Linked DNA regions of Pelodiscus sinensis. The protein of the gene in region 1 purifies or fractionates together with the protein of each later gene. This does not show direct contact. Links are inferred from orthologs where the notes say so. Each region holds a gene or a part of one and is shown in the gene's direction. Other genes may lie near its edges.

The links. Proteins that work in one complex are often made in the same cells at the same time.
Region 2: the proteins of BNIP1 (region 1) and USE1 purify together in Homo sapiens (co-immunoprecipitation; 4 studies listed by BioGRID and IntAct, counting the BioPlex papers as one, with this or other methods). This does not show direct contact. The link is inferred for Pelodiscus sinensis from reciprocal best matches to the Homo sapiens genes BNIP1 and USE1.
Region 3: the proteins of BNIP1 (region 1) and NBAS purify together in Homo sapiens (co-immunoprecipitation; 3 studies listed by BioGRID and IntAct, with this or other methods). This does not show direct contact. The link is inferred for Pelodiscus sinensis from reciprocal best matches to the Homo sapiens genes BNIP1 and NBAS.

Annotation. Positions count from the first base shown.
Region 1 is NC_134727.1:18,397,205-18,405,091, forward strand, and holds the start of BNIP1 (vesicle transport protein SEC20), read left to right. Parts: upstream 1-4,738; 5' UTR 4,739-4,800; coding exon 4,801-4,884; intron 4,885-6,414; coding exon 6,415-6,507; intron 6,508-7,887. UniProt on the Homo sapiens protein: As part of a SNARE complex may be involved in endoplasmic reticulum membranes fusion and be required for the maintenance of endoplasmic reticulum organization. Also plays a role in apoptosis.
Region 2 is NC_134729.1:20,832,383-20,839,952, reverse strand, and holds the start of USE1 (vesicle transport protein USE1), read left to right. Parts: upstream 1-4,469; 5' UTR 4,470-4,524; coding exon 4,525-4,626; intron 4,627-4,661; exon of another isoform or gene 4,662-4,957; intron 4,958-7,570. Other genes in the region: MYO9B (unconventional myosin-IXb), read left to right, coding at 1-46.
Region 3 is NC_134713.1:22,929,307-22,937,526, forward strand, and holds the start of NBAS (NBAS subunit of NRZ tethering complex), read left to right. Parts: upstream 1-5,119; 5' UTR 5,120-5,160; coding exon 5,161-5,280; intron 5,281-8,220. UniProt on the Homo sapiens protein: Involved in Golgi-to-endoplasmic reticulum (ER) retrograde transport; the function is proposed to depend on its association in the NRZ complex which is believed to play a role in SNARE assembly at the ER. Required for normal embryonic development.

The DNA of each region.
Region 1 (7,887 bases):
GTGACTTCTAAATCATATCAAATTATTCTAATACAATTACAACTTGTTGTACAAAATGGGCCAAAACACTGAAGCAAAACCATGGTAAGCTATAGTGTTGAGACAGTTGCAGGATACTTGAGGTATAAATACACGTTTACTTCGTGTCCAAAAAACAGTGATTATTTTACCATTAAAACCACAGAAAAGTTAATACAGATTTCTGCTGTATTTGCAAAACAAAATCCTGCAAAACATCATGCTCCTTGATTAGGCTTTGTTGGTCTAATCCTACAAAACAATTATTAAGGGCAGCAGAGAGTGACCTTTTGGAAACTTGGGGCAGTAGAAGGTGCAGGCTGGGATAGCTCCTGCATTAAAGCCGCTAGTAGTAGTGGACAGCAGATTTGGAGCCATTATACTGCCACAGGGTCAATAGGTCTGCACAGGGCAGGGAGCGGCTATGCTACCTAAGGGCACCTGGGGCAGCAGGAAGTGGAGAGCGATTGCAGTGCTTATTATCAGCCAATACATGGAGCAGAGTATGTGATATTACTGACTTATGATCTGGCCAAACAAATCATTGTACAAAATCGAATGCAACCAGAACAGTGGCTGCCACAAAGTGGGACAAGTGAGGTGTCTGTGAGAAGTTTACAATTCACTGCTTATGTTTATGCCATTCATATGTATGTATCATTTTTATATTTGAACTTATGTGTATTGTCTCTGTGTATTGGCTATGTACTTGTATTTCAAATGTGTGCTTCTGGGAGACACCAGCTGGAGGCTTGGCCAGTGTCTCAGCTATTCAAGTTATGTAGAAGTACTTGACTGACAATCTATCTTAGGAGGTGCCAGTCCACATCTGCTGAGCTTTACTGTGAGCGTTCAGACTAGCCTGGAAGCAATGGCTTCTACCTGTAAAGAACTGAGTCATGCATGGACAGGTGACTTGCTCACATGACAAACACTATCTTGTAGCTGTACTTTTCCACAGCAAGAACAATGGGAGTCCCTCCTCGTGGCCAAGAATATAGAATACCATAGGGACTTCATTTTATATTCAATCCTGTCTCTCACCTCTGGAGGACTAAAGGACTGAATGGCCCATCCTAACAAGTGGATGTACTCCAAAGACTTCACTTAAGCCAGCAGTTTATTCCATTACTGTTACAAGCATGAACCAAGAACTTCACATCCCACAATTGCACTTTTTTTTATAAAAAGGAAGGGTAAATCAAAGAAACCTAAATCTAAAATTGTTAGATTTTTAACTCTCCTTTAAAGTCTAAGGAAAGAGTTGGTGATGGCATGCAGTTTGTGTAAGATTCGCAGTTACAAATTGGTTTGGGGATGTGGCTAGTCCTGTGGAATTGGAAGAGATTGGTTTTCATAACATCGCAGCTGTACAAGGGGTGTTACCGGAGGTGGCACAAGCACAAGAGAAATGGAGTGTGTGAGGGAATTGTTTGTATGACTTCTTGTTAGCCAGTGTGGTAAACTGAAGTGCTCTTGGCGCCTGGTTTAGTGTGCCTTATTGTGGAAGCCCCGTCTTGGGCCGTAAGTAGCCTTGTCTCTAAGCAATTCTCTCTGAATTGATACTTTCAGTAAAGACATATCTACACTAGGAAATTATTTTGAAATTACCATTAACAGCCGGTGAGGGGGCACACGCTTGCCACAGCCTCCCCAGCCCTGGTGGAAGGTACACCGCACTGCACTGCATGGCCTGCCCCAGCCCAACCTCTTGAGCACCGGGGAAGGGAAGAGGTAGGTAGGGTGTGCTGCACCACCTGGCTTGCCCAGCTGTGGAATACTGGGAGAGAGAGGAGGGCGCGCCATGGGGCCTGGCCTGGCATCCCCAGCCCTGGAGCAGCAACACTCTGTCCCCAGAACACCTACCGCAGGCATTCTGGGGGTGGAGGGTGGGTGGGGCCATGCCTGGAAATAAATTGGGAATTATTTCTAATTTAGTTAACAAAACTGAAATAGCATGTTCCCACTATGGGGGAGCATTGAAATCAGTCAGAATTATTTCAAAATAGTGTGTCCACACTGATTGGCGCCTGCCTTGGACTTGGAGTCCTTGGAAGCACTCTGGGGAGGGCACCAGGAGCGCAGACACTTCCAGGGGCTGCTTGGTCCAGCAAGCTGCAATGCATGTTTTGAGGGGCTCCTCTCTATGGCCGCATCTCACACACCACTCCTCCACTGCCTTCCCCCTCGTGGCACACAAAATGGATGCAGTGTGCTCTGGTTGCCCTTGCGGATGCCACAGCACTCACAGCATGGAGCCGGAGTGGCTGCAAAGCAGTGCCAGGCTCACGAGCCTCATGCTGCACCTCATGGCATGGTACTTACAAACTGACCGCATGCTGCTCCAGCAGGACAATGACCAGCTGGACCACAGTCCTTGATAACCCAGGTCCTGGTGCTCCTGCTGCTGTGCATGCCCCTCAATCCCCTGGACATCGTGGAGCGCCACTTCTGGTGGCGGGAGACCAGTTTGGACTGGTGAGACTGCATTGTCCTGTAGCTATCAGACAACCAGCAGTGGCTCCAGAACTTAAGCATGTAGAAGACCACCTTCCTGGAGCTCTGCGAGTGGCTCGCCCCTTCCCTCAAGTGACAGAACACCCAACTGAGACCTGCCATCCCTGTGTAGAAGTGTATTGACATCACCCTGTGACAGATCGCCACGCCGGACAGCTGCTGCTACACTGGGAACCAGTTTGGCATGGTGAAATCTACAGTCAGGACCCTGCTCCTGCAGGTAGCCCGGGCTGTCAACCACATGCTGCTACAGAGGCTCGTTACTCTGGGGAATGTGGACAGCATTGTGGACAACTTTGCCGCCATGGGCTTCCCCAACTGCAGGGGGCCATAGACAGCACTCTCAGCCCCATCCTGGCCCCTGACCACCAGGCCTCAGACTACATCAACCATGGTGCTGAAGGCCCTCGTGGATCATAAAGTATTATTCACTGAGGTCGTTGGCTGGTCGAGAAAGGTGCATGATGCCTGCATCTTCTGGAGCTTCTGCCTATTCCAAAAGATGCACGCTGGCACTTTTTTCCCTGACCACACCATGAGAGACATGTCCATTTGCATCCTGGGCGACGCAGCCTACCCTTTGCTCCATGAAACTTTAGATGAGCAGCCTGGATACTCCCACACCAAGATGCACTTCAACACCAGGCTGAGCAGGTGTGGCATGGAGCTGGAATGTGCATTTGGCCAGTTAAAGGGGAAGTTCAGGAGTCACCTCACCCATCTGGGCCTCAGCAAGGACAACATCCCCTTCGTGCTGCTGGCCTGCTGTGTGCTCCGCCACCTGTGTGAGAGCAGCGGGGAGACTTATTGCCAGGGTGGGGGGGGGCAGAGGCTGAATGTCTGGCTGGGGCATACAAGCAGCTAGACACCAGCACCATACAGAGAGCACGTCAAGGGGCTGTGCTCATCAGGAGAGTTTTGTACAAGGCCAGCTGTGAGACTTTCCCCCGTGCCTCTCCAGAAGGTGCCCTTGCATTACCTCTGTGTGCCTTTCCTTCCCCACTCCTCCCTTCCCCTGCCCTCCTTTCCCACCTTCCTCCCCCTCCCTTGCAGAGCAAATAAAAAAGCCTTCTTTTGTGAAACAGGACTGTTCGGGGAGGGCAGGGGGGAATATACAACAGGGGAGGTACTAGGGAAAGAATCTGAAACGGGCAGAGGTGGCCCGTGAGCCTAGGCGAACTAGGCAGTTGCCTAGAGCGCCGCTGGCCCGGGCACCCAATGATGACGTCACAGCCATTGACGGCCGTGCAGGGGGGGGAGGCGCCAGTTGCGCTGCCCGCTGGGGTGCCAGCTGCTGCAGCTGGCCTTGGGCCACTCCTGAACAGGGGAGAAGCAAAAGGGGCCTCAGGGATGGGACTGGTACCTTCCCCCAGGTGGTCGGGAGGCTTCCGCTGCCTGAGAGGTCCCACCACCATGTGTTCTGGGGCACTCGTGGCTCCTGGGTGGACGGGGCAGCAAGATGGCTAGTGGCCTGCTCCATGCATGAGGCCATGTGCTCCATCACTGTGGTGAGGGAGGAGCACATGGCCTCATGCTGGTGTTGCAGCTGGTCCCAGGCAGCTGCCTTCTGCTCCAGGTCAGCACCCCCTCTCCTTGTGCTCCTCTTTGAGCCCCTGGACAGGGGACTGCAGGCCATAGACAGGGTGTCTTTCTCAGCCAGGGGCCATGTCAGTGAGGGTTTGTTTTTTTATTTTTGCTTCTCAGTTACGTGCGGCCCAACACAAAAAAGCCCCTTCCTCCCCTCCCCTTTAGCTCATCCCTGATTGATGTCTATCCAACCTGCTCTTAAATATCTCCAGTGACTGTTAAAAACAAATATGGTTTAAATGCTCGGGGCTGTGGAGAAAAGCCTGACGCCGAACAGAATCAGAACCTACATTTCTTACAGATTCTTTACACATTTGCCTGTTTTGAAGGCAACCCCTGCAGCTGGGGAGGGAGGGTGACACTCAGGATAGGCCTGCAAGTGGTAATATCACGATTTTGGAAAGTGGCACCAGCCCCTGAGTTTATTTGGAGCTGGGTTGCAAACACTGCTACTCAGTATAGTACACAGGCAGCCCGGCCCAAGCCTGCTCGCTGGGGCAGTGTGTGGCCCTAGGCAAGTGCATCCCTCGAACCAGGGAGGGAGGCCCAGTATTCCCATTCCCTGTGCCTACAGGACGCGGCCACTAGGTGGCGCGACTGCCGCCTTCGGCGGGAGCGGGGGGGGGGGGGGGGATGGTGTATTGATTTTGGTCCCTCTCGCTTCCCGTAGTTCGCAAGATGGCGGCGGTCGGGGACGTGCCCGTCCGGGTCTGTAACCAGGAAATTGTCAAATTTGACTTGGAGATTAAAGCGGCGGTGCAGGTAGCGTTGTCCGCACGCGCCGGGCCCCTTTCCGGCGCCCCCGCGGCACCTCCCTGAGGAGGGGTAGCGGCCTCTCCCCCTCCCGTGTGTGGGTCACCCGGGCCCAGGGCCCTGCCCGCCTGCTCCGCTCGGGGGTCATCTCTGGAGGCTTTCCCCCCCGCCCGGCCTTCTGCCCCCTTTCCGGTAGGCGGGGATCGCTCGTGGGCAGCTGGGCTCATTCGGGGCGGTGTTTGCGCCTCTTCCCAGTCCAGACTCTTCTCCCCCACACCTGGGGCCCGCTCGGGGACCCGTGTCTCTGTGCACCTCTCCGCCCCGGCCACGTCCCTTCCCGGCGCTGCAGAGTCGGCAGTTAGGAGCGGGCAGGTGCTTACGTGGAAGGGCAGTAAAAATCTGAGTTTAATTCTCTGGTGCTTGGCTAACTAATTTTCACAAACTTGACCAGCCCTGCCCCACTAAAAGGCTAATACAGCAGTACAACGCCACTGGCTGAGTTTCTGTGCAGTGCAGCGGTTTTTTCAAACTGCTTTGTGACCTCATTGTAATGGGGTTGCCAGGGTGGATGTTAGGTGTGGTGGGGCTTTGGGCCAAAACCCAAGTTCTGCAGCCTGGGGCCTAATCCAAAGCCCAACAGCTTCAGCCCTTTATGGTGAGGCTTAGGTTACAGGCCCCTTGCCTAGGACTGAAGTCCTGGGTCTTTTTTAGCCTTCTCCTCCCATCCAGGGTGGCAGAAGTTGGGTGGGCTCATTTTTCATCCGCTTCGCCCTCCCAGCCACATGTAATAATTTTTGTTGTCAAAAGGGAGTCACAATGCAATGAAGTCTGCCTAGTGTAATGGGCTCTGTGTTATGGTTTTTTCCACTTTTATAACATAATACTGATAGGCTACGTCTAGACTGGCATGATTTTCCGCAAATGCTTTTAACGGAAAAGTTTTCTGTCAAAAGCATTTGCGGAAAAGAGCGTCTAGATTGGCACGGAAGCTTTTCCGCAAAAGCACTTTTTGCGGAAAAGTGTCCGTGCCAATCTAGATGCGCTTTTGCGCAAAAAAGCCCCGATCGCCATTTTCGCGATCGGGGCTTTTTTGCGGAAAACAAATCTCAGCTGTCTACACTGGCCCTTTTGCGCAAAAGGACTTTTGCCTGAACGGGAGCAGCATAGTATTTCCGCAAGAAGCACTGATTTCTTACATGAGATCGTCAGTGTTCTTGCGGAAATTCAAGCGGCCAATGTAGACAGCTGGCAAGTTTTTCCAGAAAAGCAGTTGCTTTTGCGGAAAAACTTGCCAGTCTAGAGACAGCCACCATGTTTATATAAAATCTGAACGTGAGACCCCATGTTAATCTTTAATCACACTGCAAACATTCAAATTCCTCACAAGTGAAAAAGTCCTGTTTCTTCCTGTATCTCATTCAGCAGAAATACCCTGCGCCTTCTCAAAAACTAATTAAATAAATAATAAACATATTCAATTGCATTACCAATCTACAGCTCTTACTCAAGCATGCTTGTGGTGTATGTTATTTCTTTTAGGATATCAGGGATTGTCAAGGACCCTTAAATGTGCTTACAGAACTGAATGCCAAAGTAAAAGAAAAGTTTCAATATTTACGTCTCAGAATACAGGTGAGGTACAACATGTGTCTCACTACAAAAATGAGCTGCTGATTGGCAAAAGCAAGACTATTAATGGTGCTTGTAATAGGATTTAATTGGGTTTTCCAGAGACATGGAAGTCTGCATTCCCGTGTGTTAGGTAGAATTAAGGTTATACCAGGGTGACACTACAGTACTAATGTCTTGGAGACATTTATTAGCTATAATATTGAGTATTTCGAATTGCTTATGTATTGTGTAAGATAATTAAAAATAGTAGTCTCATTCCACAAGTATGTGTCTTGCAAATATACTTTCTCTGATAATTGATGGCATCTAAGCTGACAAGTTCTGCAGAAATGAAATGTACAACGGTAACCTTTTAAATGGACTGACACTTGTAGCTTTCTCTAAAATCAGCAGAAGGAAACTGACATGATTCTTATCACTTCCATTGTTGCCAATAGTCTGCTGAAAAGCAGCAATAAGTTGACCTTTGAGTCTAATTTGTTGATTCTCACTGCTCTCTATTCTTTGGCGTATGAGAGAGGGTTGATTGTTGTCTGGTTACTGGGGACTAGGGATGTTAAAAAACAGTTGTTATTGTAACTGTGTAGCCTCTAAAACTTTTAGGAGTTATATGCTGGCTCCCTGGGAATGGGGCCGGCAGCCAGTGTGCTTCCTGCTGCCAGCCCCACTCCTGGGGAACAGGCTACCACCCTGCACTGCATACTCTCATACAGAGTCAGTTCCTGGCATGTACCGGCTCCCACCTGCTGGCCTGCTCCCAGGAAAGTGGTTGCCACCTTTGATACAGAGGCAGCAACGTGAGCTGGTGTGCGCTGGGACCCAGATTTTAAGCCGGCTCGCTACTTGTACTGATTTAGAGGCAGCAGCACGGGATGGCAGTCAGCCTCCCTGGAGCCAGTGTGTGTTGGGAGCTGGCTTTTAAGCTGGTTCCCTGTGTGTACCAATTCCACCTGCCAACCTCTGCTGCTGCCTCTGTATCAGAGGCAGCAGCATGGGGCAGCAATCGACTCTCTGGGAGTCACACTGGGAGCTGGTGTGTAATTGTTTGGGTAACCAATATGCTCATGCTTATCGGTTATCCATGTAAATGAATACACTCTTTGGGGGTCCTTTGGGGGCCTTTCAGAGTCATTCTAAACTACCTAGATTCAAACCAAGGGTATCAGCAATATCAAATTAGCTGCTAATTTACTGAATTAGCTACCCTCTCTAGTTGAGAAAAACATAATACAGGCTGAAACTCTAAAATCTGGTATTCTCTAGTCCAGCAACAAATGTGGTCAGGCAGAATTATGGATATTGCTGGACCAGAGAGCTCGGCTGGGAGTGGGGGCAGCCAGGGTCAGAAGTGGAGCTCTGGCCAATGACAGCAGAGCCAGA
Region 2 (7,570 bases), on another chromosome or scaffold:
GAGATTTTCAGACCCTTACTCTCACATGTCATGCATAGAGGAATGAAATATTTAAAATTTGGGATTTTTTTTTTTTTTTTTAATGAGAACTGTAGCTTTTGGCTCTAATCCGCCTTGGCAGATGATGAACTTGTGCACTTGGCGTAAGCAGTCACCGGACGTGCAGTCGGGAACTCTCAGCACTCTAAGGGTGAAGCAGAGTTGCTTAAAAACAAGGAATATCCTGCTTTTTGTAAACAAAAGCAACTTTGGAGGGTGGAGTAGGCTCTAAAACAGTTTCGGTCACGAAGCAAAATACTGGGACTTGAGTCTGCAAAAAAACCCCAGTTTCTCCTGCTGTGCTGCCTTGTATTTGCTTACGATGGGCTGTAATAGGCCTGACTGAGTTAGTCACTAGGTTTTTCCATATTCCATTTTTTTATGTTTTATGAAAAGTTCTTTTTGTTTACAAAACTGTTAATGTACTTGTCTTAACTGAGACCAAAAACATATCCAAATGTTTATTAATACATTGCACTTTTTAAAAACACGTGTTATCAATGTCCTATTGCTACAATGTCCGCCCTTCTCGAGTGCTCTTGAGTAGAAAGAAGACACTTAATTCTGACCAAAAGTGGATCGGCTTTCTTGAGATTCATGCCTTTTCCCAACACTTCCTTAAAAGGATTTGGAAAGAGTTCTGCAGGGTAAATACCAATCACCAAAGGCGTTGGTTTTCTGAGAGTTCAGTGCTTTGCATACAAGTATAATCACATTGCTCAGTAAATGCAGTTGTCACAGTTGGGCAACTTTGTGCAAGGCTTTGTTCAGCATCTGTTGTGCATCACAGTGCTGCAAAAGTCATCAAGCATGAGCACATGCAAGCACAAACAGCTTCTAAAACTTGGGCCATGTGAGTCAACCCCCAGCTCTCCTCTACCAGTGTGAACTGGGAGCATAGACGGGGCAGCAGGCTTTCCGCTGATACGAAGAACTCCATTTGAACACTGCGTACAGATGTGGTCACCTCATCTCAAAAAAGATATATTGGAAAAGGTTCAGAAAAAGGCAACAAAAATGATGAGGGATTTGGAACGGGTTCCAAATGAAGAAAGATTAAAAAGATGGACTTTTCAGCTTAGAAAAGAGGCGACTAAGGGGGTATGATAGAGATCTATAAAATCATGACTGGTGTGTTAAAAAGTTAAAAAGGAAAAATTATGTACTTGTTCCCATAACACAAAAACTAGGGGTCACCAAATGAAATGAATAAGTAGCAGGTTTAAAATAAACAAAGGGAAGTTTTTCTTCACGCAGCGCACAGTCAACTTGTGGAACTCCTTGCCAGAGGATGTTGTGAAGACCAGGCCTTTAACAGGATTCAAAAAAGAACTAGATAAATTCATGGAGATTAGATCCACCAATGGCCCAATATGGTCTGACCCAATATGGCCATTCTTATGTTCACTTACTGGCTCCAATCAAGAATCCCTTCCAGTCTTCTCATTGCCAAGTATCAAACAATGCATACATGTGTAAAAACAAGGAGTCCTGTGGCACCTTAAAGATTAACAAATGTATTTGGGAATAAGCTTTTGTTGGTATAAAAAAAACCAACCACTTGGTCTCCCATGGTTCTGACAAAGTGGGTTTTTACCCATGAAAGATTATGCCCAAATACATCTGCTAGCCTTTGAGGTGCTACGTTCTCCTTGTTGTTTTTACAGATATAGACTAACAGGGCTATCCCTGAGACTTGTCACACAAAGGTGTGTTAGAGCTGGTAGGAAGATATGGCTTTTTCCATGGAAAACTTTGAATTTGTACTTTAAATAAGATACATTTTGATTTGGAAATGTTATGGTGCCTCATGGGAATTTTAGTTTGGATGCCTCTGTGCCATGCTCCTAAAGGTGTACCATTTCCCATGATATACCAAAGTATCTTGGTGGGAAAAGTCATGCATTACAGCAGTCCCAGCTGTAGTGCTACATGGGAGAAGTAGTTTAGCAGGAGAGCCTGCTCCAGAGAGAAGAATGGATGCACAATTCCCATGTATTTTTTTCTGCAGATTGCAGCTATTTTTTACAAAAAATAAACGGAAACCCCTATTTTCTGTGCAAACAGTTTTGACAATTGAGTCAGCCACTCCTGCTGCTTAATTATAATTAAAAATGCTGCGGTTGCAATGAGTGGTGAAGGAACAAATGTACCACCTTGTAGTTAGAACAGTTGCTGAGTCAGTGGAGACCACACATTGACATAAAAAGGCACTTTTGTAAACACTTTAGTTTGCTGGTTGGAGGTGAACTGGAAAATTCAAGCACTGGATTTCACAAACTTTCCAATTAGATGCAGAATGCTGCCATCAGGTAGGTAGGGCATCATGGACAAAATATTTGTTTTTTTTTCTTAGCATATGACACAAAATTAATTAGCTTAATTTAAAAAATTGCCTCCTGCCTGAGATTAGAACAGGATTAGTCCTGTGATAATGAATACTCTTTTTCTGTACATTGTCAGGCAACCCCAAGCACAATTTGAAACAGCTAGTGAGACTCTTCCATATGCCTTGAGAGACTTTTTAATATAGCCAAAATGTGTGTGAAAATTACAATGCCTTTTAGTAGCTGGACTAACTTCAACTTGTTATTGCTCACTTCCTGTGGGGTAGTATCAGGGCACAGAATAAATCCAGCATGTCTTGCTGAACTTATTGGCTAATACATCAGTGTGTTCATTACTGTACAGCTAGGCATCAATGATCCTAGCCCAAGGTGGTCATAAACTAAAGTGGTCAGACAACGCAAGCCAAGGCACAGTCCAATGGATCAACAGCCAGCGAAAGGTCTACCTTCCACGTATGCCAAGTAATTCTCGGAGGAGGACTGTCATTTGAAGGTTGTAGTGAAGAGATGTTTTCAAAAGGAATTTGGAGAAATTTAATCTGAAGTTAGGGGAATTATGTAGCTGTTTTGTCACCACGAACAGCCTGCCTCTGAAAAGGTCAGTGATATAGTTAAATGAAACAGTGGTTGTAGCTCAAATGTAAACTAATTTTATTGTTAAACCTCTGTAACGTGAGCTAAATTATGAGATCAAGGCCTGGTTAATGTGCTGGCAAGTGACATTTCCATTCCAACTCATCTGATAAAGTGGGTTTTTCCCACAAAAAGTTCATGATCATAATAGGGATGTTAAATATTAGTTAATTGAATAGTCAATTAACCTCATGAATGCTTATTGGTTACTCAACTATTCTATAGTCTCTGGGGGTGGGGTTGGCAACCAGTGCAATCCAGCCCCACTTTTGAGGAGACCCCTGCCACTCCATGCTGCTGTTTCTGTATCAGAGGCAGCAGCATGGGGTGTCAGGCACGAGCTGGTGCTTGAGGAGAGCCAGTTTAAAAACCAGTTCCCCTTGCAGACCGTCTGCCTGTCGCCCCATGCTGCTGCCTCTGATACAGAGGCAGCAGCGCAGGGTGGCAGCAGCCCCTGTTCGGGTAGGTTCTGAACTCCCAGACATGGCGCAAGCCAGAACTGAGCCAGGCTGCCTGCTTGCTTGGCTCCTAATAAACTTTAAAGGCAAAGCCATAGCAGGCTTAGGGCCTGGATCTGGTGCAAGTCTGGGCAGAGCCTACCAAAAAATTTACTGCGGTGGCAATGTGTGTAGTCGATAGCGTTAACAGATAAGCTTTTGCTACTCAGTTAATTGATTCTACTATTGCATCCCTAGATCCTATATATATTTGAAGTCTCAAGCGGGGCTAGCCGGGTTAGTCTGTAACTTTAAAAACTGAGGACTCCTGTAGCATCTTAGAGACTAAGGAACCTCTATATGTATTGCTTATGAGCTTTTGTGGCAAAATTCACTTTCTCAGATGAGAAGGGGGACGGGAGTGGGGGGGGGGGGAATGACACACAATTATTTTCCACTTTTTACTCATCTGATTCCCTATGAAAGTTCATGAGTGTCTCTCTCTCTCTCTATATATCTATATATAGAATCTCTACAGACTGACTAGTGATAGAAATGTAGCCCTGTTAGTCTGGTGTAGCTGAAACAAAAAACAGGACTATATAGCACTTTGGTATGTAACATCTTCTTAGTCTTCAAAGTGCTACAAGTCCTGGTTTTTGTTACAGACACGACTCTGCTCTTTTTGTTAGTCTCTAAGGTGCTATAAGTCTACTCGCTTTTTTTCAAGTTGCAGCCTCCGGGGCTTCCCCTCTCAGCCTCCTCATGGGCAAATAGTGGGGGGGGGGGGGGCTACTAGAGTCTTTTCCTGCATCGTTCCTCTGCCCCCTGGCCTGTAATGTCCCCGCGCTGCCGCCTGTGGGCCCTGTAACGCCACGTGCAGGCTCCTGGGGGCGGGGAAGCTGCAGAGGCTCCTCCCCTTCCCCCACGTGCCGCCGCGGGCTCCAGCAGCCTCTGGCCCCGCCCCTCCGCAGCGTGCCTGGTGGGCGGAAGCGCCCCGCCCTGCCACGTGGGCGGGACTCGGAAGTGTTCGCGCGGCGGGCGGGTTCCGCTTCCGGGTCGGAGCGATGGCGGCCCCTCGGCTGGAGCTGAACCTGCGGCGGCTGCTGAGCCGCTGCGAGGCGCTGGCGGCCGATAGGCGGGAGCCGGACGAGTGGCGGCTGGAGAAGGTGCCGGGATCGGCCCCGCGTCCCCCGCCCGATCTCTGGCCCGGGGCGGGGCTGGGCTCCGCTGGAGGCGCCGGCGTTGCCAGGGATGCGGAGCGGGACCCGCTTGGCTCGCGCTGCGCGTCCCCGTGAGCGCCCCGCGCGGCTCGGGACTTGCCTCAGAACGTGTCGCGGAGACCAGGCGGGTTCCCGCAGGGCCCTGGTCACCCTCCCGCGCTCCTGTGGGAAGAGCAGAGGCCCCCGCTCAGTCAGCTCGGCTGCTGGAGAGAAATCCCTGGAGTGTCCGGTCTCTGGATACTTTCCTGGGAGAGGGTCTGTTCCCTGCCAGTGTCTCCTAGAATAGTGATAGAAACGCAGCGTGTGAGTCTGGTGCAGCTGAAACAAAACGCAGGACAATGCAGCACTTTAAAGACTAACAAGATGGTTTATTAGGTGATGAGCTTTCGTGGGCCAGACCCACTTCCTCAGATCAAATAGTGTCACAGCCATAGATACCAACCCTCTTCTGTTATGAAATGTGATTTGTCCTTTTCATATTTGTTCATTTTTTTTAATTGTATCCTTTGGTATCTATGGTTGTGACAATTTTCTTCCACTATTTGATCTGAGGAAGTGGGTCTGGCCCACGAAAGCTCATCATCTAATAAACCATCTTGTTAGTCTTTACAGTGCTACATAGTCCTGTTTATAGTATCTCCTGTGACTGAACTGTCCAGAGTTGTGGGTAGGCTCCTATATTTGGTTTCCTTGGCTAGAGCTCAGTCTTTCTGACTGGCAGATACTGTTTAGCTTTACTGAGGTGGATCTAATATAGGGATCGTTGAACCTGATATTGAAGCAGAATTTTAAAACCAGGTCTCATTTTCTCTTCAAGATTTCTCAAGTTTTATTCAGGGAGAGTTGTCAAATGTGAGGAAGATTTTTTTTTTAACATATGCAGTGTTCTAATACTGTTATCCCAGGATATTAGTGAAACAAGTGGAGGAGGTAGTAGGGATATTAAACTGTGTTTAATCAACTAATGGAATTTCCTGGCGGCCTTAATATATTTAAAAAACACAAGCACAGCAGTAGGGAGGGAATGGGCACAAGCCAGGAATCAGCTGATTCCCTGATCGCCTGGTCCCCCACTACACCTCTGCCTGGCTTTCAAGCCACCTCCCCCCAGCTCCTGCTCTCCCTTCCCCCCACCCTCCCATAGAGGCTGCAGGGGGGAAAGCGACTAGTTGCTACATCCCTATGAGGTGGTATCTTTTATTGGATCAGCTTCTGTTGGTGAGACAAACTTTTGTGATTACACAGAGCTTTTCTTCAAGTTTGAGATGCTTCCTCTCTTGTGTGTGTCACCACCAGAAACTGGTCCAATAAAAGATATTACCTCACCCGCTCAGTGTCCCAGATTTCTTTGTTAGATCATTATTTGACTGTAGTGTTTCACTTGCACTTCCATAAACTTATTGAATGTTGGCCTCAGAATAGTCTGATTTACTGTGAACTTGACTGTTGTGAATAGGATTTAAAGAATCTTTGTTTAATCATCTTGACTCTGGCCGCTGGAGGTCACTCTTATGCCACATACATGGATCTTATATAAGAACCCTGTTGTGATTGCCAGACTACCTGCTTTTATATGAGGAGATAAAGGATTGGAGTTAGGGCAATCCTGCTCTCCAAAAACCATCTTGCCATCCCTGACAGGCAATTCTGTGCCCCAGTGTAAGGAAGAATATTCTGAAATGTGTGCATCCTGTATCATTAATACACATATACACCTTGCATGTCAGTCCTCAGTTTGCCCAATGAGATATGTTACTGTTCTATGGAAGCAAAGGGACATATAAAAATAGCATCTAGGAACCTCTGGTTTATGCTGTAAGTCATACCACTGTTATCTTGTAGCTTGTGGTATAACAATATAATATATTATATATAATATTTAACAGGAAACTTGGATATGGCAGAGATGCTCAATGACTTCTTTGTTTAGGTCTTCACTGAGAAGTCTGAAGGAACACTTAACATAGTGAATGCTAGTGGGAAGGGGGTAGTTTTAGAAGGTAAAATAAAAAAAGAACAAGTTAAAAATCACCTAGAAAAGTTAGATGCTTGCAAGTCACCAGGGCCTGATGAAATGCATCCTAGAATACTAAAGGAGCTGATATCTAGAGGCTCAGATACCTCCTCTATCATCTTTGGAAAATAATGGGAGACAGGAGAGATTCCAGAGGACTGGAAAAGGGCAAATATAGTGCCCATCTATAAAAAGGGAAATAAGAATAACCCAGGAAACTACAGACCGGTTAGTTTAACTTCTGTGCCAGGGAAGATAATGGAGCAAGTAATTAAGGAAATCATCTGTAAACACTTGGCAAGTGGCAAGGTGATAGCGAACAGCCAGCATGGATTTGTAAAGAACAAATCATGTGAAACCAATCTGATAGCTTTCTTTAATAGGATAACGAGTCTTGTGGATAAGGGAGAAGCGGTGGATGTGATATACAGTAAAACTCTGATGGTCCGGCATCTGATGGTCCGGTACTCCTGATGGTCCGGCACCATCAGGAACCCGGAAGTGCTCCGGGCAGCCGGACCATTGGAGCTGCTCTGCCCCCAGGTTCCCCAATTCAGCTGCTGCTAAAACTGACCAGCGGCTGAATCGGGGAAGCCGGGGGCAGAGCAGCTGGGGCACTGCCGGGTTGGTCCCATAGCACTGCCCCTCGGGGCTGCGGAACCCAACCCAGCAACGACCCAGCTGTCCCCGATTCAGACGCTGCTGAAACTGACCAGCAGCTGACTCCAGGAAGCCCGAGGCAGAGCTGCTCTGCCCCGGGCTTCCTGGAGTCAGCCCCGATCAGTTTCAGCAGTGGCTGACTTGGGGACACCTGGGACAGAGCAGCTGGGGTGCTTCCAGGTTGGTCCAGTAGCGCCGAGGAGCAGCGCTGCGGAA
Region 3 (8,220 bases), on another chromosome or scaffold:
GCAGCTGCCACACAGGTGATCCCCAGCTCAGCTGTGCGACCACTGCCCCTTTGAAACACCAAAGTGGTGTTCAAAGGGGCAGTGCTGCATAGCTATTCACGGCTCAGCTGCATGGCAGCTACTCCTTTGAAATGCCACCTTGGTGATTCAAAGGAGCAGTGGTGCACAGTGGAGCCCAGAGTCAGCTGCAGACTCCTCAGCTGATCCTGGGCTCCACACGGTATTTCAGTGGAACCTGGGATCAGCTGAGGAGTCCCCAGCTGACCCCAGGCTCTTCATGGCATGCATGGCTTTGAAATGCACAAGAGCCCATGCTAGGGACTCTTGTACATCTCAAAGCAAGCACGACACTTGCAGCCCAGAATCATCAGGACTCCCTGCTGGCCCTGGGCTGTATACGGAGTTCTGCATTCCTCCTTTGAAATGTACAAGAGCCCCAGCGGACGTTTCAAAGGCGGAATGCGGAAGTGCCTATCGACTAGTTGATTAATCAGTTAACTACAATTTAACATCTTTACCCCTGACCAGCCCAAACTAACTATGAACACTTAGCCTGACTAGCCCAGAACTAACTCTGATTATCCCAGACTGACCCATACTAGGGATGTTAAAATGTGGTTAATTGACTAGTTGAATAGTCGATGGTATTTCCATCGACTACTCAACTAGTCGATAGGCACTTCCGCATTTCTCCTTTTAAATGTCCACTGGGGCTCTTGTATATTTCAAAGGAGGAATGCGGAACTCCCCATACAGCCTGAGGCCAGTGCATACAGCTACTGACTCAAGACTGCGTGCGGGTGGCTTGCTTTGAAATGCACAAGAGTCCCCCCTAGTGGGAGCCTAGGGTCAGCTGGGAACTCCCCAGCTGACTCCAGGTTCGATGCAGCATTTCCCTGGAATCCGAGGCCAGCTCCCCAGCTGATCCCGAGTTCCGAACGGCATTTCCCCAGACCCTGGCTTCTGGGGAAATGCCGCTCAGAACCTGGTGTTAGCTGACTCCGGGCTCCATGGAAGTGGTGTTTTAAAGGGGCAGTGCTGCACAACTGAGCTGCAGATCAGCTGTGCAGCGGCTTCCCCTTTGAAACACCGCATTGGGGTTTCAAAGCGGCAGTGCCGCATAGCTGATTCCCGGCTCAGTTGTGTGGCACTGCTGCTTTGAAGTACTCCCCCTCTTTTCTGCCTCTATCTCATAGAGGTAGCAGGGAGGTGGTGGTGGTGGTGGGGAATCGACTAGTTGACTAGTCGAGAGACTATCCGATACGCATTTGCTAGTCCTTAACATCCCTAACCCATTCAGTGTACCTAATTTGAAACCACACAGAGACTGACCAGATCAAGATCATGTTGTGAATTGTAACCCAGCTAGTAAACCTGAGACCATGAGCCAAACTGAACCCAAGTTCTGAATCCTCATTCAGACTCAGTGTTGTCCGCACCAAGTGTTCAAGGACTATTTGTTGTTTTCTCAAGACTGAAGAGTCAGGCTTCCAAATCTGAAAATATTCACTTGAAAATCTGGGGTTTTTTTGTATCAGAGGGGTAGCCGCGTTAGTCTGAATCTGCAAAAGTGGTGAGGAGTCCTGTGGCACCTTATAGACTAACAGAAGTGTTGGAGCATAAGCTTTCGTGGGCTAAAGCATCTGACAAAATGGGTCTTCGCCCACGAAAGCTTATGCTCCAACATTTGTATTAGTCTATAAGGTGCTACAGGACTTTTCGCTGCTTTTGGGTTATTTTTGTCACAGGTTCAAGGGACTGCACTCTCTGCTCCAAGAAGGCTACTCACTCTAGACTTCCAAGTCATCAACTCTCTTGGACAGAGCTAGGATCTTGCTGCAACTTTAACAAAAATACCAAATACCAAATAGAATGAGAATTACAGTACAATTTAGGGTGCATGTATACTGCACCCTTAGCTCAAAATAAGCTACTCAATTTGAGCTATGTAAATTCCATAGCTTATTTTGAGTTAATTTTGAAATAGAGTGCTATTACAAAATTGTCGTGGAATTATGTTTACACGGATGTCTTGAAATAGCGCTGTTGTCTAGACACACCCTTAGAAAATTAGTAACACTGCTCATTTAATCCAAAGCTGAAACTGAACTCTTGACTTGAACCTAAGCCCAAACTATCTGTTTACTTTGAATATTTTATCTTTAAATTATACAGTTGTTGTCACCTCTAAACAAGTAGATTGGTATAGCCTGGTTTCATAGTTATTTAATCTTCTAGAAGAGTATGTTTGTTTGAAAGTATCTTTACTTACACATACGGAATAATAATCAGTTCTAACTTATTTTTAATAATCTATTCCTGAAGTCCTTACTCAACTTTTACTGCTCAGTTTCTGCTCTGTTTCTGTTGAAACAAACTCCTATTGACAAGAACCTCTATTGAGTGAAAACCTCTGGATCTGGAACTGTAAATATAGGATTAACCTCAAACTGGGAACTAAACAAGTGTAACTTCACCATTTCACATTATTTGTGAATTTGGCCAATTATAAACTAGTTTATCAAAGAGAAAGCATGAGAGTAGAGCATCATGGTGATTCCTTCCTGTTGTCAAAATGATACACAGAACTTTTAAAATTCCATTGAGACTTCCCCAGAGAGAAGAAGAAAGCACCTTGGTGTAGATTTCATCCAAAGGACAGCTTCTATAACAATGCAATATGTACTATTGCACAGTGGCATGAATAATGGCTAAACTAATTCCTGTCATGAGAATTGAGTTCAGCACCTTCTGTCCAAGTGTGTTACCATTTAGAGCATATTCATTGTTACTGACTTATTCTGGTGTATATGAGAAGGTAAGTATTAGGAATATTGCAATAAATATTCTAGTACTTTAATACCAGATTTCGTTTGTCACCAGTGGTGTTTTGGATCGTTTTTGTTAGCTGTCTTTCATTAGTAACCAAAGACCAAAGGCCATATTTTAGTGGGTATCAGTTTCATCTCTGCTATACACCTTTGCATTATATTCAGATGAGATCAATTTTAATATAGTTTGTTTAAATGATGTTTATTTTCTGGCTCCTCTTTGTACTTTACAGTCCTTAACTCATTTCTATCTAATCCATCATCTTCATGTTTTACATTTCAATGGAGTCATAAAATATTATACTAATGCAATTATTTTAAAAAAAGTTGAGGTGCCCATGTGAAGCTGTTGAAGCACTTGTTGCCAGATCTGTAACGCTAAAGGAAAAATGTACTGTGAACCTCATATTGTTCTTATAAATTGTGAACATTGGACAGATGCACTGCTGTTGTCACCCTTTTACCTTGAAAAACATAAATAAATTAAAAATATTAATCTAAAGAAACAATCAGAACTCAGTAGAAATTTCTTCTCAAATGGCACTATTTCTGTAATGTTTAATTTAAACCGTCTATGGCATAGAGTGCTAGGCCTTGTAATTCCACACTTTTGTCAGTATCTAAAACTAGACCACATAGCTGACTGCAAATTTAAAAAGAGATTATTAAAATACTAAAAATAGAAAAGGTTAGCAGTAAAGTGTGATCTTCTTTTTGTTGTAAGAAGTCTACATTACAAAAAATACTATACACACATTTAAAAAAAATACTATGTAGTTTATTATTTTCTTTGTGTTTCTCCTAAATTAACACTATTTGTCTCGATGATTGTGCATTCTAGGGTGCTGATCCTGTAATACAGTGGTTCTCAAACTTTTTGGTCTATGGACCATCCGCCTCAATGAAGACCTTTCTGTAGACCACCAGCTGCAATGGAAATTCAGAGTTAATGACATAATTATGCCTGAGCCATTTTGCAAGTCCTGCAGCTAAGGAGAATGGTTTAATTTAAATTATTAAACAAATTAAGTGTTTGAACTTTCTCCTGTTAGTTTATCAAACTTCATTTTAAATAAAGTATTAATTTATGTCGCAAACAAAAGGTTTCAATGTTTTCTTTATTTATGGTGTGGAGGCAGGAAAAGGGAATACGGGAATTTGTGTGCAGCCATCTTGGTCTTGTTAACAAGAGAGCAAGAGTCAGGCTAAGTCTGTGGCCTGACAACGCGAGATCTGTACTTAGACACTGCCTTTGCCTCTTGCCTCCATACGGAGATAAGGATAGAATGCTGACTCTAGCAGGGACCTTGAGATAAGGAGCATCTGGGTGGAACTAAATAACTGTTAGCCATTGGTGTCTGTAATGGGAAGGAGACTAATTGTTGTTGTTATTATATATAATGGACAGTATATAAACTCTTCATAATTGCTTGTATCTGAAGATCTGCCTTGGGGGGACTTCCCCCCCCCCCGTCCGAACCAGTTTTTCCCTTGCTGCAGCTTGTAATAAAACTGCCTCTGGCTACTTGTTGCTTACAAACTCAGAGCGAGGACAATGTTTTCTTCCACAATGGAATGGGCAGGGAACCTTTTTTGGGTTGGGGGGCCACTGACCAATAGAAAAATCAGCTGGGGAACACACAAGTGAGAAACAGAAGAACTACGCCAACCGTCAGTGATGTGGCTCCCACCTGAGACACCTCAGGACTCTGGGGGTGGGGAGAAAAATGAGAGTTTCAGTGTGCTGGATGGGCTGCTAGTGAGTGAGATAGGGATGGGGGTGCAGGATCTGGGGAACAGGAAGGGGTGAGGGTGCAAGGTGTGGGTGGGAGGTAGTGTGCAGAAGCAGGCTGGGTGTAGGGTGTCCGGCCGGGGGGAAGGAAGCAAGAGCAAGGGAGGGTGCAGAGTGTGGTTAAAGTGAACACTTAAAGGTGAAATAGACAAAACAAATCATCTTGACATGAGTAATTACACGTTTTTAAAATTTTAAATGTTTCATTTTAACTTAAAAAAATGTGTATTTTGGGATTGACAAAAGGGCCATCTTTGGTTCCAAATTTGTTCTAGAGCCATAGGTTGCAGACCCCTGATATATTATAGTATCATGAGCTCATGATACTATATATAGTTGTATTCGTTTCTAACAAAAAATATGGTGCTACTGGACCACTCGTTGTTTTTTTCAGTTTTTTTTGGTGTGGCCGTGGCCTCCACTTGCCCTATGCAGACAGCAGCAGAGCGGAAAGGGTTAAACATCTCTTTCCCTCCTCCCCGCCAGGAGGAGTGAGTGAGAGGTTTGTCCGCAGCCGGGCGCCGTAGCTGGTGTCTCATGGCTGCTGCCGCTGGGAGCTGGGAGGCGGCGGCGGGGGTCGCTAGCGGGGACGAGGAGGAAAACATCCTCTACGACCTGCTCATCAACACCGAGTGGCCGCCGGAGACCGAGGTGCAGGTCAGTCTGCCCCCCCCGCCCCCCCGCCGCTCAGCTGGGTGGGAGTGACCCAGGTGGGGGCGGGGTGGCCACGTTGAGCCCTGCAAGGCGCGGGAGGGCGGGCGCACGGCGCGGTCTCCTTGTCCCCCAGCGACGAGGGGTCGGGCTACCGTTGGGGGCACCTTCCACGCGCGAGACCCCCCGTCATCCCGAGCGAGCGAGGGGCCTTCTTCTCTCCCGGCTACTAAGGCTGCTGGGGCCACCCTGGCAGGCAGCGGCTCCTGACACCTTAAGGAGCATCCCGGGCACGTACCAAACACCTGGCGTGTGTCGCTCAGCCAGGGGGGAGGCGGCCCGCTCCCGTTTGGCACCTCGCTCCTGCACGCGGGCTGCTGCAGTCCCGGGGTGCGGGGAGCCCTTGAACACCGCTGTGTGCGCTGTATGATGGAAAGCGCTTCAAGCCGGCGTTGCCGCTGCCCCTTTGCTTTTTATACCGTTAACCAATATTGGTGAGGTTTTTGCTTTTTAGCAAAAGTACAGAAGGCTGTCGGGTAGAAGTATTCGTTGTGCAATTTACTTTGAGCCTGCTCTTCAGAAGAGGTTAGCTAACAGCGCCAAAAGAGTCAGTACGGGTTGCACTTAGGGAAACCAGGCCCTCTATCAAGTAAACAGTGTATGATGCAAAATGAAGTTATTTCCTATTAAAGCTATGGCAGGTCTTGGTTGGCAGATCTGCCCCGTATACTGAATGGGGAGAACATAACATACTTCGTGTGTTTTACAGAGGATGGCATAAGTAGACATCAAAGCACAAAAGTTGGATATTATTTAAACTTTACTAATTGGAAGATGGTAATTTGTTGAGGTTCTGTTTGTTCTGTGTGAGCCACTGAGAAACCTTGTTTTCAGTGGCTGGTGAGTAGTGGCTTGGCCGTGTATCCTCAGGGACAAATTTTTCATCTTCCATTTATTTCTCTATTCTTTTCCACTTTGTGCTAAATCAGCTGTCTGTCTTACATTTTAGAGGTTACATTTCTGCTGTAAAGTTGTTCCTTGTATTTATGTTTTGATTTCAAATTGTTTGTGTGTGTAAAATACGCACCCCTCCCTTTCCCCCAATACTAGGCATGTCAAAGTGTAGTTGACTATAAGATTAACCGATAAGCTTAGTCTTATCAGTTAGACTTGTCAATTACACACATTTCTAGTTAAAACACAGATACTTCATGAAAAATTTAATTAGGGAAATAACTGAGCAAACAGTGTTTTAATTTCCACTTTCTAGTTAATGGATACTAAGAACACTTTTCAAGAATAGAGTACTGCAATTTCTGCAGAAATCCATAGGTATTTGCTTCCAATTAATTTTTGTGGCTATTGGAGCAGATGTGTAAATCATAGAATACTAGAACTGGAAGGGACTTTGAGAGGTCATCAAATCCAGTTGCCTGTCCTCACGGGAGGACCAAACACTGTCTAGATTATCCCTGATAGACGTCTGTCCAACCTGCTCTTAAATATCTCTGGTGATGGAGATTCCACAACCTCCCTAGGCAATTTATTCCAGTGTTTAACCACCCTGACAGTTAAGTTTTTCCTAATGTCCAACCTAAACCGCCCTTGCTGCAATTTCAGCCCATTGTTTCTTATCCTGTCATCAGAGGCCAAGGAGAACAATTTTTCTCCCCCTCCTTGTAACATCGCTTTAGATACAGGCAGTCCCCGGGTTACGTACAAGATAGGGACTGTAGGTTTGTTCTTAAGTTGAATTTGTATGTAAGTCAGAACTGGTACATATTGTAGGGGAAACTCTAGCCAAACATTTCTCCAGAGCTCCGTTTTATTCTCCCACACCTCACTTCCCTCAGTCCTTTATTCTCAAGCTGAGGTGTCTGCTGAGAAAAGCCGCTCTGCGTCTCCCTGGTCTGCTGGGGGGAACAGCTAGTGCGGGGTTGCCTCACCCCGTTTGTAAGTAGGGATCTGATGTAAGTCGGATCCATGTAACCCGGGGACTGCCTGTACTTGAAAACTGTTACCATGTCCCCTCTCAGTCTTCTCTTTTCTAAAATAAACAAGCCCAGTTCTTTCAGTCTTCCCTCATAGCTCATGTTTTCTAGACTTTTAATCATTCTCGTTGCTCTTTCTCTGGACCTTTTTCAGTTTCTCCACATCTTTCTTGAAATGTGGTGCCCAGAACTGGACACAGTACTCCAACTGAGGCCTAATCAGGGCAGAGTAGAGCAGAAGAATGACTTCTTGTGTCGTGCTCACAATACTCCTATTAATGCATCCCAGAAGCATGTTTGCTTTTTTGCAACTGTTCAGAAAAAGGACTCTATATGGGTACTTGTCCTGCTTTGTCCTGCCTGGTGCTTACTGGGAAGAAGGATCGGGGTAATATCTGCGGAGGAGTGTGGTGGAGGCAGGGTGCTTGGCAGTGCCTTGCAGAGAAGAGTGGGACAAGCATCCTGCCCTAACCACGCTCCTCCACACACATTCCCTGACCCCACTTCATAGTTAGGAGCACCTCTGGGAAAATATGTTTAAAATCATAATTAAAGACTGCATGATAATGCATATGCATAGGGAGACTGAATTTTAAGATTGCCCGGGGAACCTTAATGTGTGTGGTAGGCAGCTAAAAACATCAATGCTTAATAGATATTTCAAATGGGCACATTGTCATTGCAAATGTAGATAGGAGCCTTATATAGATTTTATTTCTGAAATGTTCTAACAGTAAAATTTGAAGCTGTCTGTCAAACATGAATGTATCGTAAAAGGAGGTTTCTTAATGGATTGGAAGAAGGGTTTCTCTGTAACTGCATGGTGCATGTAAGGCTCAGTGGAGATACATTAAAGGAGAATACATTTTAATGTTCCTAATAGAGTAAATGACTTACTTTTAGGGATTAAAAACAATTGAAGAACGAGGCTTTTTAGTTCAAGTATAGAAGCGGA